Solanum lycopersicum: one gene and its partner. The protein of the gene in region 1 binds, or shares a complex with, the protein of each later gene. Links are inferred from orthologs where the notes say so. Each region holds a gene or a part of one and is shown on either strand. Other genes may lie near its edges. The genes, in order: phosphoribulokinase, chloroplastic; calvin cycle protein CP12-1, chloroplastic.

Region 1 (8,285 bases):
CATTATTCTACCTAATACACCCTACCAAATGACCATAATGCTTGATTGTAGATACTTCCCTTCCAAGTGAAAAACTCTCAGTTTCTCATTATTAGCAGATTGAATTTGATTTAACTTGTGCACTCAGCACTGTCTTTACTGTTTATTTGAACAAAAACTTAAATTTCATTTTATTTTTCTCATTTCATATTGCAGTTAGTTTGTTAACTGATTTAGCAGATCAAAAACATTTTTTGTAGAGTCATTTTCTTGAACAATAACTCAATTTCATTTGATATTCTGATTGCATATTGCAGCTAGTTTTTAAACTGAGTTACTGCATCAAAAGCTCTCTTAGATAATTGGAATTCCCAATAAAATTGAGAGTTAATGCTTATATTAGCTTATCAGGATGTTTGATCTTTTACCTTCTTAATATATATTCTTGTGTTGTCCTTTTCTTCTTTTTTTGCAGATATTTTATTTGATTGGATTTGGTTTCTTCTGCTTGGAAGTTTTGCTTAGCTTGTGGGTGCTGCAGGTGAGGTTTTTACTGTATTGCGATTCTTCATGTCAGGTTCATTAATAAATCAATTGTATGAAGATCAGCTGGGGCAATGCTCCACCTAGTGTTCTGGTATCTGCTGTTCCTCTTTTTAGAGTTTTGCTCATCTTTGCCTTGCGGCTTGAGCTTCATGTGTATGTGGCCTGAAACTGAAATCTATCAAGGGGAAAAAAGAAATCGTACATCAATTCATATTTAAGCTCTTGCTTGCTGTGTGAGGGGGGTAGTCTTTTTCGAGGAGGGTGGAGGAGAGGGGTATCGTCTGGTTTCTCTTAAATATCAAGAAAAATGCATCTCTAGTCCTTTTTGATGATTTGCCAGGTTTTCCTTTTATCACAGAAAGAAGGTAGACAATTTGCTAGGTTTTCACCCAGATATGGACATCCAAGTAGTTTTTGTTTTGGAGCATGTACATCTTTTGAACAGTAAATGTACTAACCGAAGAGTCGCTTTGTGGGGGGGAGAGAGTATCATTTAGGTAGGGCTATTCAGAACCTAAGGTTGAATTTAGTTGTGTTAGGTAATTATACTTTTTCTATGCCTGATAACAAACTGTTGTATACTACTAAAAATTTACTTTCATCTTGTAACGTTTATATCATTGCAGAAAGTGTACATGTATTTCCGAGGGCACAAGTGATGCACCTGTTTGGACGTAGCAACAAAACAATTCTTTTCCAGAGTAATGACTTGCGTGATATAGTTGCATGTTTTCTAGGTTTCAAAACATATTCGTTTCATTGTCATTTTTGTATGTAATCACAGTTTGACCTTTGATCATTAGACTACTACATTACTATAGTGCCTTCACTGGGATTCGTTTTTGAGTGATGGTGTCCACTAATAGTCATGTCCAATTGAGACTTGCAGAAACATAACAAGAGAATAACTACAAAAAAATAAAACCTAGTTAACATATATAAAGAAAGAGACTAACTACACTCTTATTATTTTTTTGCTACACTCCAAGCAAGTATTACATTGTGTAATATATGAAAACTATTGATTGGGCTCTCCTGAATACTACTGCAACCAGAAGCTTCAGGCATATAGTTTGCTGAATAAATGTATATTGGAGTAGCTGTATCGGACTAGATTTGGTTCGCACAAGAGCTGAATCTAGAATTTTCTTTTAAATTATATTATTAACCCATAGCTTAACAATTCTACACGTTGATTTCAGCTAAAACAAATTGTTGTTATTCGACCATAAATTCTCACTCTAAGAATCCTACCCCTAACTAATACTCCAATTTTCCATTTAATTCTATGGATTAAAGCAAGAAAATACTTGAGAAATTAGTAGAGTAAATAACTAATTTAAGGTTAGAAACTTATCCCACAAAAGAAACAAATCCAACACTTCTTAAAATAGATATAAATAATTCACGAATCATAGTAGCAAAATGATCTAAGCAAATAAATTAAAGGGAACGGAAGTTCAAATATTTTTGTTCATTTATTAGGATAGACTGTCTACATCACATTCTTTAAAGTACGATTCTTTTCTGAATCTCTGTTAACACGGGATGCTTTGTACACCAGATATGTTTGGAATCCTTAATCTTAACCAAATACGAAACTTGCTAAACTAGGACGTAACTAAGATCATCTAAATTTGGAATGATGAATATAATGAATTTAAAAATAAATACGTAATTAATTCTTGGAAATAGAAAATTCCTTTTCCCCCTTTTATTTTCTTATTTCATGAACTATTTTCTCTTTCTTTTTTAGTAGTAAAATTTCTTGTATTTTTTATCACACTAAAAAAGAACGTCAAAATTAAAGGATGGTTCTTTAATTAATGCTGCAGCATACTTAAATCAATTAACAAAAGTTTAGTTAGTTTGAATTACTTTATATCATACTTAAAGTTTTATTTGTTGTATTTAATGTTTTCTAATATACAAATAATAGTGTTTTAATTAATTAAATTTGAACTGAGAATGAACTCATACTAAATTGAGAGTAATAATAGTTGCAAATTGGAGTGCACATAATTTGATTTGGAAAAATATAGCACATTATATTAAATTAATTTTAGGCTAAATTTTTTCTTATTTGACGTCGCGATTAACTAGATTTATAGTATTGCCAAGTAATTTCCAATTAAGTAAAGCTATGAATACTTATTAGGAGCTAAGTTAAGCCTTATATCAAACTTTGTAATCCTCAACCAAAATACCTAAAATTTAAAAATCTCGAAATAACTTATTCATCGACCCGAACAACATTCCAAAGCAAAAAGTAGTATCCAAAATTGTTTGAATTATGGATTACACATTCTCTATCTTCTTTTATGCCATCATCCTTCTGCCACGTGTCCTATGAAATATCCAAACTGAAATAAATCACCACCAAACCTTTTCTCCATCCCTTTATCTATCACAAACATCATCTTCAATCCTTACTAACAGAATAATAAATAAATAAATTCAAGAAAAATAATAAATTTTCTTATTCAATAGTGTATGTGGAGTGTGGGGTAGTGGGGGGTAGTACAAAGTAAAATGACCATTATACCCCTAAACAAAAATTTAAAATCACAAACCATGTCCTCTTTATTCTTAGCCTTAAAATAATTATCTAAAATAGTTAAACCTAAATAGTCGTCCACCGCGCACAAACACTTAAACTAAAAGCAGTCGTTAGACGTATAATTCATGTATATCAGTGTATACCAGCTAGAAAAAAAAGAAGTAAAATAATGAATCATAAAACCTGCTGTCTAACGTATAATTCATGTATATCAGCGTATACCAACTAAAAATTTCCTAACTCGATTTTTCAAAAATGTTGACAGGTATGTGTTAAATTCTCAAAAATTAATATACTACTTTAAAGAGATTCAACACAAATACAACAACATGTATAAATATACTACAATTTATGCATGGTTAAAATTAACTTTTATGTGTATATAGTAAATGTGAACCTCCTTCGATTAGTTTGTATGTTTACCTTTTCAAATTTTACAATCCCATTATTAAAATTTTTGCTTCGTCACTGCATCACGATGTGATTCACTGAAAGTAAACTAACGAATCCTACTTGCTATATTTGCGTAAAACTCCATTGCTCTGACTCTTTGAATATACTTATAGATGTGTATTAGATTTTTCAAAATTAATATATTATTTTTAAAAGATCCGATCAATTATAAAAAAGCGGATTAATACTACCTCCAATGGTAGTCACAGAAATCCAAATCAACACACTTCACTATCCAAACAAAACAGCCATAACCATAGCCATTAACTTCTTACAAAAAAATTCTAAGCCTCACATATTTTTTTTCTCCAAAATATCCTAAAAACCAAAAAAAAAATTTAATTTTTTTTTAAAAAAAATGCCCATTCATTAATCTATCAGTAAGTCAGTGAGCACACAAAAATAAAAAATAAAAAAGCTTCCTCCATAATTCTATCTCAAAAACCTCTCAAGAAACAGAGAGATAGAGGGGCAAAAATAAAAAAAATGGCAGTTTGTACAGTGTACACTGCTCAATCACTGAATTCATCTTGTTCAATTTCAACTCCATCAAAACCCCACTTAAGATTTCACCAGAAACAAGTAATTTTCCTAACAAAAAGACCAAGGAAGATGACATGCTCTGCTTCCTCTGACGGTGAAAAAACAGTTGTAATCGGTCTAGCAGCTGATTCTGGTTGTGGTAAAAGTACATTTATGAGACGATTAACCAGCGTCTTTGGTGGCGCTGCTGAACCACCGAAAGGTGGAAATCCAGATTCAAACACATTGATATCAGACATGACTACTGTCATTTGTCTTGATGATTATCATTCACTTGACAGAACTGGTAGAAAAGAAAAAGGGGTAACTGCTCTTGATCCAAGAGCTAATGATTTTGATCTAATGTATGAACAAGTTAAAGCTATTAAAGATGGGGTTCCTGTTGATAAACCTATTTATAATCATGTTAGTGGTCTTCTTGATCCTCCTGAGGTTATTAAGCCTCCAAAGATTCTTGTCATTGAAGGATTACACCCCATGTAAGTCCCGTTTTAACTTATATGCACCGACAGTATCTCATAACTTTTACTCTTAATTTATGTTGAATTTTGAAATGTATAGATTTTTTTTATTTTTTTTTTATATATGTGGATTTTTAAAATATCATTATAGAATTTGAGTGAAAAGTTATTGAATTTTGTTAGAATGAGTTTTAAGAAAAACAAAAATATAGATTTTTTTTTTGAAATTTCTTATCTAAAATATGTGGGGTACATTTGTGTGGTTGTGAAATCATATCTTGGTAGGGGATAAAATGAAGTTTTAAAGCTAATTTTTTTTTTTGATATAATATAAGTTTTATTTTATTTAAAAGTAGACTAAAAATGGAAATGTGTTATATGGAATGAATAAAAAAAGATTACTGAACTTATTTTATGGGTTATTCTTCCACTTATTATATAAAAAAAATTATATAACTGTGAGTAATAGGCGGAGGTAGGAGTATACATGATCGGGTTGGTTTGGATTTTTCAAATATCAAATCAAATTATTTGTGTCGGGTTTTTAAATTTATAAACCAAATCAAATCAATAAAATTCAAAATTTTCAACTTCGGGTTTTTTTTTCGAGATTTTGAGTTTTTTCGATAATGAATTCGTAAAAACATATAATTTACTTGTATTTCAAATATTTATTTAATCCTATCAAAATGCAACTATCTAAGTTATTTCTCAAGAAAATAACAAAAAATATGATATAATTAATGACACTAAAATATAAAAAAAATAATAATAAAATCGCGTAAAACAAATATTGCAAATTAATAAGTCATAATGAAATTGATTATAATTTAAAGTACTAAATCATGCTAACATAAGTTTAGTAAGTATTAGTTACATGACTAAATATTAAAAGAAAGTAAAATTAGATCATGTATTTTAATTGTCTAAATCTATGTAAAACTAATAAACAAATATTCAATATTATTGTCATTTTTAGTGTTGAATTGATTTTTTTTTTTTGCATTAGTATTAATTTAATTTTTATTTAGACTTTATTATAATTACCAACATGTATAGACTATAATCTTATTACATTATTAAGAATTCTAACTTCCAAACATGAAATAATTTTATTAAAAGATAAAACTATTAAAAAATATAATTGATATTTAAAAAAATATATCAAAGTAAGTATTTTTAGGTATAAAATAAAATTTTTAAAATTATATATATAATGTCGGGTTGGTTTGGTCTCTGATTATTTTTTTTAATCAAAACCAAACCAACCCAAATATAATCGTGTTTTTTTTTCCAATACCAAACCAAGTCAAACCAAATCACTAGTCATTTTTTTTTTGGTTTGACTCGATTTGCAGTGTGATTCGATTTTCAGTTCGATTTTGTACACCCCTAGGCGGAGGCAATGTATAATCCCCTCAGCGAAAAATTATTACTATTCATACATGATTAAAATTATTTTCTAGATATATAATAGAAGTCGAACCCCCTCCCAATAGTTCATATGTTTACTTCTGAAATTTTGAAACCCTCATTAAAATTTTTGACTTTGCTACTTGCGGTGAGTATGTTATTAATAAATTTTTGAAGAAATGCAATGATGTTTTTCTAATGTTAAAACAAGACACATGCAAGAGAGGTGACACATTGAAAAGAAAACTTTGGTTTCTCCGTATATTTAGATTCTTTAATTTTTTTCTTGTCGTTTGTGTAACGAAATGTACTTTATAATTTACTTCCCTACAAAAGGGAAAAAAGAAAAAAATGAAAATGGTGCAGGGGATTCTCTTCTTTTGACATGTGTTACTTGGGATCTATAAGAATATTGACAAGTATGTGTCTTAGATTCTCTATCAATTATGATTCTTTTAGAGAATTTGATATAAATATAATAACATTTTTAAAAGATTCAAACAAAATCAGAATGTCCTCAAATGAAATAAATTTAATGAAAAATGTCTTCGATTAATAATTTGATCCAAAATATGGTACTTTATGACATTTTCCTTAAACTTAATTAGAATTTAGGTCTCCAAAGTAATATCTATTTCTGCTGCAAAAATTCGATAGAAAAATCAGTAGCAGCACTTTAAGCACCATATTAATAATGCAACTCTTGATGCACTTAGTTACGTGTATAAGAATAATGATGAATAAAATGTATTTACAGCCAAAATAGAGATGGGAGAAAAAAAAAATACGAATATCTAATGAGATAGAAGTTTCGAATATTGAGATTTGTAATGGACCGATCAATTATAATGTATTTTAGTGTGTTAAAAATAACATATATTGTATAGCTTTTTTTTTTTTTAAAAGTGAGTTTTAGAAATGTCCACGTACGTGCATTCTTTGACGTATACTTTTAGGGACTATTGCGTTTATTAATCATTCTAATGCATGTATTAATAATATTAGTATATCATAATGTAGTAAAATCTGATATTTATTTTTCATTTTCTATGGTATGAAGGTACGATGAGCGTGTGAGAGACCTCTTGGACTTCAGTATCTACTTGGATATCAGCAATGAGGTCAAGTTTGCTTGGAAGATCCAGGTAACTATCACTAAAATTTATCTATAACGACGCGTACAAGTGACCTGATTATGTAAATATCTTTTACATTGTTAATACATAGAACTTATGACTCGAACCAAATATGCATGATATCGGTTCTTTTTTGAAAAATGCAGAGGGATATGGCTGAAAGAGGACACAGCCTTGAGAGCATTAAGGCCAGTATTGAAGCTAGGAAACCAGATTTTGATGCTTACATTGGTGAACTACTTACCCTTGAAATAACAATTACCTCTGTTGCTCCACTTTTCATTTTAAAAAACCGCACGATGTGTGTCAGATCCTCCAAAAATGCATACTTTTGAAGGATCTAACATGATTGCGATAACATATTTGGAGAGTCTGAACAACACAAATAGTTAATATCATACATGATTGATGAATATGATTAGTTAAGTGGCAAAAAAATTGTTTTTTTGGTGCAGATCCACAAAAGCAATATGCAGATGCAGTCATTGAAGTGCTCCCAACTCAGCTAATCCCAGATGACAATGAAGGCAAAGTTTTGAGAGTGAGATTGATAATGAAGGAAGGAGTGAAGAACTTCAATCCAGTTTACCTGTTTGATGAAGGATCGACAATCTCATGGATTCCTTGTGGCAGGAAGTTGACTTGTTCTTACCCTGGCATCAAATTCACCTATGGCCCTGACACCTACTTTGGCAATGAGGTATAGGCTGCATTCTTTCTCTACCTGCCAAAACTTGATCATACTAATCAATCGACTCTCTCGCCTTGTGGTCAACATTCCATTCCCCATAGTCGTAGGTGCTCGTTCTATCCTGATTTGAATGAGCTGAAGCTCCCTAGGTACATATGGTTGGCCTTTATGGTGTCTCAGCAATACAAACATAGAAATAAGCTGAACTTAGGTTAGATCAATAGGGTGTATCAGATGGTAATCTAGTCCACCTGTCTAGACTCGACCCGAGGAACTCAATTGGAAGGACATTAGTTGCTGATTACTAGTCAGGCTAGAAAATTAAGCTTTGTATGTGAGGATTCATCTTAAATTGACTAGGCAGAAAAACTTCAATCCAGTTTACCTACCATCCTTTGTTCGGGTTTGGGACCAACAATGTGAGCAAGCAAGCTAACACAAGTGGTAAATAAACACTAAAAGAATGTTAAAGCTTCTTCTCGATATCTCTCGATGATATGTCA
Region 2 (6,544 bases), on another chromosome or scaffold:
TTTGTGTTGATGGTAAAGAGAAGATGGATCTTATGCCTACAAAGATTTGAACTATTTAAACTGAGAAAAGAAAAAAGATTTGGACTTTAGTACTTTTACCCCTTTGTATAGGGATTAGAAAGTTTTTTGTTTGTTTTGTTTGATGATCTTCCAGTTTGTGTTGATGGTAAAGAGAAGAGGGATCTTATGATTTGAACCTTTTTTATCTGAGGAAGGAAAAAAGATTTGAACTTTATTACTTTTACTCCTTTAAATAGGGGTTAGAAAGTCCTTCTGTTTGTTTTGTTTGATGATTGTCCAATTTGTGTTCATGGTAAAGAGAAGATGGATCTTGTGCCTATAAAGTCTTGAACTTTTTTATCTGAGAAAGAGAAAAAAAATTGAACATTAGTACTTTTACCCCTTTATATAGGAATTAGAAAGTTCTTCTGTTTGCCTTGTTTGATGATTTTCCAATTTGTGTTGATGGTAAAGAGTAGATGGATCTACTCATGCCTATAAAGATATGAACTTTTTTAACTGAGAAAGAGAAAAAAGATTTGAACTTCAGAACCTTACCCCCTTTTATGGGATTAGAATCAAAATGAACTTTATTGAGTAGGTAAATCATCTGATATCAATTGATTTGGTGAGCCTTAATCTAGTGACATTTGTTTTAGGGTTTGCAAAAACAGTAATTTGGTTGAGCTCTTTCAGCAAAAAAAAAAGAACTCTTTATAGAACATCTTCAAACTCAAATTTCCAAATCTTTCAAAAATCCAAAAGGATTTGGAAGTTAGTTTTTAATCTTGTTGAAAGATTCGAAGGATTTTGTGTATGGTCTGTACACAGTACACACTACCCTCCCTAGATCCCACTTGTGGAATTACACTTGTATGTTGTTGATGTGGTTGTTATTTTTGTTGTATTTGAAAATTTAAGTTGAGACATCTTTAATGGTTAGAATTTTGTTGAGTAGCAGAACGTATGTTATTGTGGTTTTGTGGTTGAATTTTGTTTTGGCCTTTTGATCGCGTTTCTGAGATGTTCTCTAATATAGTCTGTTGTGTTTGATTGCAGATCATTTTTGTGAATACTTTCATTTGCTGTTTGGATTTTGGATATTCTACTCAGGAAATTATTTGGTTTCTTTGAAGACTGGTTGGGGTCTCTTACAAAGTTCCAATGTTTGATTCTTAGTTTCAAAATTTCTTCATGTCATTCTCTATTCGCGTGCGACGAGTTCGGATTCTGCATTCTTTCTCAGTAGTCTTTCTTTACTGGTTCTACGTGTTTTCATGAACTAGAGCCCTCATCATTTTCTTGTTCCAGTTTAATTTACAAATTCCATAGCCACACTATCAAAAGTTTGGTGCTTTAACAAATTATACATAGTTCCCTGTTATTCCATTTTTTAAATCATTCATCCAATCTGCCTGAGAGACATGTCTTCGACTCCGCACTTGGTGAGTTCTGGTTCAGATGCAGACCAGAGGTATGCAAAGTTCGACGAAAGGAAAAGGAAGAGAATGGAATCCAACCGTGAGTCGGCCAAGAGGTCACGGATGAAGAAGCAGCAGCGTTTGGAGGAGTTAAGTAGCGAAACAACACAGCTGCAGAACCAGAACAGTATCTGCCGTGATAAGATTGCTTCTGTTGAAATGAACTATCGTTCCATTGATGCAGAGAACAACGTGTTGAGGGCTCAGCTTGCAGAATTGACTGAACGGTTGAATTCACTGAACTCACTCACCCAATTTTGGGCTGATACTACTGGATTTCCTGTGGACATTCCTGAAATTCCCGACACTTTGCTGGAGCCATGGCAACTGCCTTGCCCGATTCAACCTATCACTGCTTCTGATATGTTCCAGTTTTGAGCTCTGCTGGTGTGATGATTTACAAGAATGGAATAGAGATTAAGCGTATTAAGTATCTAGTTTGATATTAGCAATGTAGCTTTTGTTTCTGAATAGTAATGGTTGGTTTTGGCCTATTATCGATATCTGAATATCTAGTTTGTTGTTTTTAGTATTTGTTCGACTTTATTTAGTCTGTGGATGTTATATATGCATCTTTTGGAGTACTATGAATGAGATGGCCCTTCTCATTTCTATGAAAAAATTGCTGTGTGTTGATATTGTGGACTTGTTTATCCTATTTTTTCCATTCTAATTATTTTGATCATTGGATGTCAATGCTTTTATAGGGCAAAGAGTTTGAACTCTTTTTTCTGTCATTTGACTTGCAAGAGTTTAACTAGTGATATGTCTTCCCATCTGTCGTCTTCGTGGATGGTTATTTGATTGATGGGAGATAGCAGGTACTCGTAAAATTAAATACTGTATAAGCTGATTCAGATAACATGATTATTGATCATTGGGTTTTCTTCTTTTTTGTTGTTGTAAAAGATGCTTTATTTATTCATGTAAACTGAAAATTGAAAGTAGCATTACTAGCAGAGAACAATTGTTTAAACTAAAGCTCTCTGGTTATATTTCTGCTCTGATCTAACTTTATCATTTTCAATTCGTTCGTTCAAACTATATCACATAAATTGGAATTCATGGTAACAGTATGTATAATTAAACACCATACCATACATAACATAAGAGAAGATTTAAGTTTTGATAAAACAGATTACCATTTGAAAAGAACACAAGACATGACATGAGTAGCTGCTACTAATCATCATCATAATTAATTATCGTAAGTGCGGCATTCATCAGTTTCTGGATTATCCTTGCAATAATTCTCCAGTACATCTGATTCCTTCTTCTTATCCCTCGCATGGCTCGCTGCTGCACTCGTCTCTTCCACCACATCCCATGCCGCCTTACACTCGCCGCTCACCGGATCCTCCGCACAAGTTTCTTCAGCTTCTTTAACACTTTCCGCAACTAAATCAGATAGCTTCTTATCCGGAACTACTCTGGGTACCACTACATACATCATCCTCCTGTAACCCAATTGACTTGATTTCTTCCATGGGCTGTTTAGGGTTTGCAATTTCAAGGGCTGAATTTTGGGTGAATCGGATGAAATTGTTGGGATTGTTATACTAACACCGGCTATGGACGCCATTTTTATTTGCTCTGTGTTAGGGTGAAGAAGAAGAAGAAGATATTTTTTTATTTTCTTTCTTTTTAGGATGGGTATATATTATCATTGAGATGAAATGAGTAATGAGCACACATTTCTTATCACTTTGTTGGCCAATGGTTAACATCCACGTCGTCAAGATGACGTCCAAAGATATTTTATTGTTAAAAGGAAAAAGAGTTAGATATGTATCTGAACTATTTGAATCTCCAAACTATTTAAAAATGTGTAGATATACCCCTCCGTTTAAAGTTTAGTTCACTCATCTGTCGTTCAACTTTTGGTCTAAATATACTTTTATAGTCGTTAGTTTCATGTTGGACATATCCAACTCATTTTTTATTTCTTTAAATGTCACATTGAATTGTCATGTCATTTTGACCTTACCACATGACATATTCGGACTCATAAACACCTAATCAAACCCAAAAATCAACTCTTTTTAAATTCACTATCCGATCAATTTTTAATAATTTTGTTTAATTTTTATTTTTTCGATAAATTCCGAAAAATGAGGAATTGATTAGTAAAGGATAAAAAAAATATGGAAAAAATATAAAATTAACGCCAGAAATTCACAAATAAATATAATAACCTTAAATTCAATTCAAACATTTTTTAAAAAAAATTATTTTTTTCGATAAATCCCAAATGAGTAATTGATTGATAAAAAATAAAAAATTAACGCCAAAAATAAAAAAATGAAAACAATAACCTTTAATTCAACAATTTCAATATTTTTTAATTTTTTCAGAAAATCCCAAAAATGAGTTCATTAACAAAAAAATATGAAAAAATATAAAAATTACGCAAAAAAATCAGAAATAAAAAATAGAAATATATGAAATAAAAAATTTGTTGAAATTATTGAATTTAAGGTTACTATATTTATTTGTGAATTTTAACGTAAATTTTTTATTTTGTTTTCATATTTTTCCCTTTTTATTAATAAATTACTCATTTCGGGATTTGCCGAAAAATATAAAAAAATTTAAAAAAAATGTATAATAAAATGTTACTATATTTATTTGTAAACTTTTGGCGTTAATTTATATTTTTTTCATATTTTTTATTAATCAATTACTCATTTTCGAGATTTACCGAAAAATAAAAAAATTAAAAAAATATTTAAATGTCAGATTTAAGGTTACTATATTTATTTATGAAATTTTGGCGTCAATTTTATATATTTTTCATATTTTTCCTATTTTTTATTAATCAATTACTCATTTTCGTGATTTATCGAAAAAATAAAAATTAAACAAAATTACTAAAAATGAGTCGGATAGTGAATTTAAAAGGAGTTGATTTATGTGTCGGATTAGGTGTTTATGAGTTCGGATATTTTTCATTTTTATATAAATGTCATGTGGTAAGGTCAAAATGACATGACAATTTCATGTAACATTTAAAGAAATGAAAAAATAAGTTGAATTTGTCCAACATGACAACTAACGCTCATAAGGGCATATTTGAACCAAAAGTTGGACGGAGAGGGCATGAGTGAGTCAAACTTTAAACAAAGGATATGTCTAGACCTTTTCGAATAGTCTAGGGGCATATTTGACCCTTTTTCCTTGTTTAAAATATCTTTACTGTTATAATTCAACGAAAAATTACATGAATTAGTATATTCTAATAAATAATTATCGATTTTAGTGAAATTTTCAATTTATTACCATTTATAACAATACTATGTTAAATATGTAATATATATGAAGAGTGAATTATGTATGCAATATACATGAATTATTAATTATTTTTTGAAATATATTATGTTTGTTTGGTAAAAATGTGTCACATTATATTATAAGTGTATCAAAATTTGTGGTAAATGTATTATCCATCATTAAAACTTGTATTATATGTGAATAATAAATTGTTCTTTGTAATATGTATTAAACTTGTATTATAAATGAATTAAAAGTGATCAATTAAAAAAATATTATTGCTATAAATAATTTTTTTTATTTTAGTATATTTATGTAAGTTTCCCTATATTCAAATGGGAAAAGGGTTTGATATACCCTTCAACTTTGTCATTTAGATCTGATATAACCCTTGTTATGAAAGTGATTCATATATACCTCTACTTATAAACAAATGACTCACATATATCCTTTTCCTCTAACGGACATGAAAAAAACAATAATCTAACTTTTTATTATTTTTTTCTAAAAAATATACCATATGAGTAAATTTAATCCTCGTCAAACATATTTTTTTTATTTTTTTTTGTTTCAATGACTAATTTAGAATTATTATTTTGATAATCAAATTTATTTATGTTTCACTAATATTCTTGTAAAACTTATTATAGATGGGCCAAATTTTTTTCTTCGAATATAAAAATCAAACTACAATATAGACAAGAAAAATAGTTTAATTTTTTTCTCTTTAAACTAAGGAATGAAAGATAAAAATAAGAATAAGAATAAGAAACTCAAATAATTATAATAAAAGAAGTCAAAAAATAATTTATGTATGAAAAAAATTAAAACATACCTTGAACTTGGATAGAAGAATCATATATACCCCTAAACAATTTTTTTTTTAAAAAAAGTAATAAATATAAATTTAAAACTAATTCTTTTAACTTCCGTTAAATGAAGGATATATGTGAGTCATTTTATAACAACATGAGTATATGTGAGCCGTTTGTACAACGGTAAGGCATATATGAACCAATTTCATAACGAGGAGTATATTAACTTTAAATATCAAAGTTGATGGATATATCTGACTCTTTTTCCTATTTAAATTTTATTAAACTTTTTATACAAAATTTTCACCTAAAAAAACAAACATCCAATATTTAAACGTTATATTCGTTAAAATAAATTACATATAATACACTTTGTGCTATTAAACCATACATATCAAATTTTATGAGTGTGTTATTTTCGATTAAATAATTGTAAGTCATGAGCTAAAATTTCAACCTTGCTTGCTAGTATTTTCTTGGAATTGCGTTTCGCCATAGACAGTGAAGCTCGAAAGTTGAGAGCTTTTTTTCTGCTCTCAAATTTAGTCCATTAATGCTTCAAAGAATGAAACTTTGATGGGCAGAGATGTTCATCATCTTCTTAGTCTTGTTAAAAAGTACCAAAACCATCGCAAACCAATTCAGCAAATTCATACTCAGTTAATATTCACCACTGCAGAAAACACCTTCAACTCAACTTCTTCAATACCCATTTTATTAACTCTATGGAACTCTTTAATTCGGCATTACTCTCTTGGTATTTTCCCACAAGAATCTTTTCTTCTGTTCAAACAATTGCGGTTACAGTATCACCCCATTATCTTTTTTGATAGCTTTACATATTCATTCTTGATTAAAGGATCAGCTAATTTAGGAAAGTTTTGTATTGGGAAGCAGATTCATTGTTTGAGTTTGAAGGATGGATTTGAATCTCATGTTTATGTGCAAACTGCATTGGTTAATATGTATGGGGAATGT

Evidence for each region.
Region 2: the proteins of phosphoribulokinase, chloroplastic (region 1) and calvin cycle protein CP12-1, chloroplastic are in contact, whole or in part, in a crystal structure (PDB 6KEZ), measured with the Arabidopsis thaliana proteins. The link is inferred for Solanum lycopersicum from reciprocal best matches to the Arabidopsis thaliana genes PRK and CP12-2. Residues at the interface, in NP_174486.1 of Arabidopsis thaliana: Ser59, Lys63, Arg109, Arg112, Lys113, Gln115, Lys116, Thr118, Ala119, Tyr148, His150, Val151, Lys201, Arg204, Asp205, Ala207, Glu208, Arg209, Gly210, His211, Ser215, Ala218, Ser219, Ala222, Arg223; in NP_191800.1 of Arabidopsis thaliana: Asp62, Val64, Glu65, Ile68, Gly82, Val85, Ala86, Trp88, Asp89, Glu90, Val91, Glu92, Glu93, Leu94, Ser95, Ala96, Ala97, Ala98, Ser99, His100, Arg102, Asp103.

The regions. Positions count from the first base shown.
Region 1 is NC_090807.1:62,388,138-62,396,422, forward strand, and holds the start of phosphoribulokinase, chloroplastic, read left to right. Parts: upstream 1-3,675; 5' UTR 3,676-4,024; coding exon 4,025-4,560; intron 4,561-7,015; coding exon 7,016-7,100; intron 7,101-7,237; coding exon 7,238-7,322; intron 7,323-7,546; coding exon 7,547-7,791; intron 7,792-8,285. Other genes in the region: secretory carrier-associated membrane protein 4, read left to right, coding at 455-520, 1,152-1,184.
Region 2 is NC_090805.1:3,601,159-3,607,702, reverse strand, and holds calvin cycle protein CP12-1, chloroplastic, read right to left. Parts: upstream 3,134-6,544; 5' UTR 3,064-3,133; coding exon 2,680-3,063; 3' UTR 2,513-2,679; downstream 1-2,512. Other genes in the region: bZIP transcription factor 53, read left to right, coding at 1,425-1,859; pentatricopeptide repeat-containing protein At1g09220, mitochondrial, read left to right, coding at 6,143-6,544. UniProt on the Arabidopsis thaliana protein: Acts as a linker essential in the assembly of a core complex of PRK/GAPDH. Coordinates the reversible inactivation of chloroplast enzymes GAPDH and PRK during darkness in photosynthetic tissues.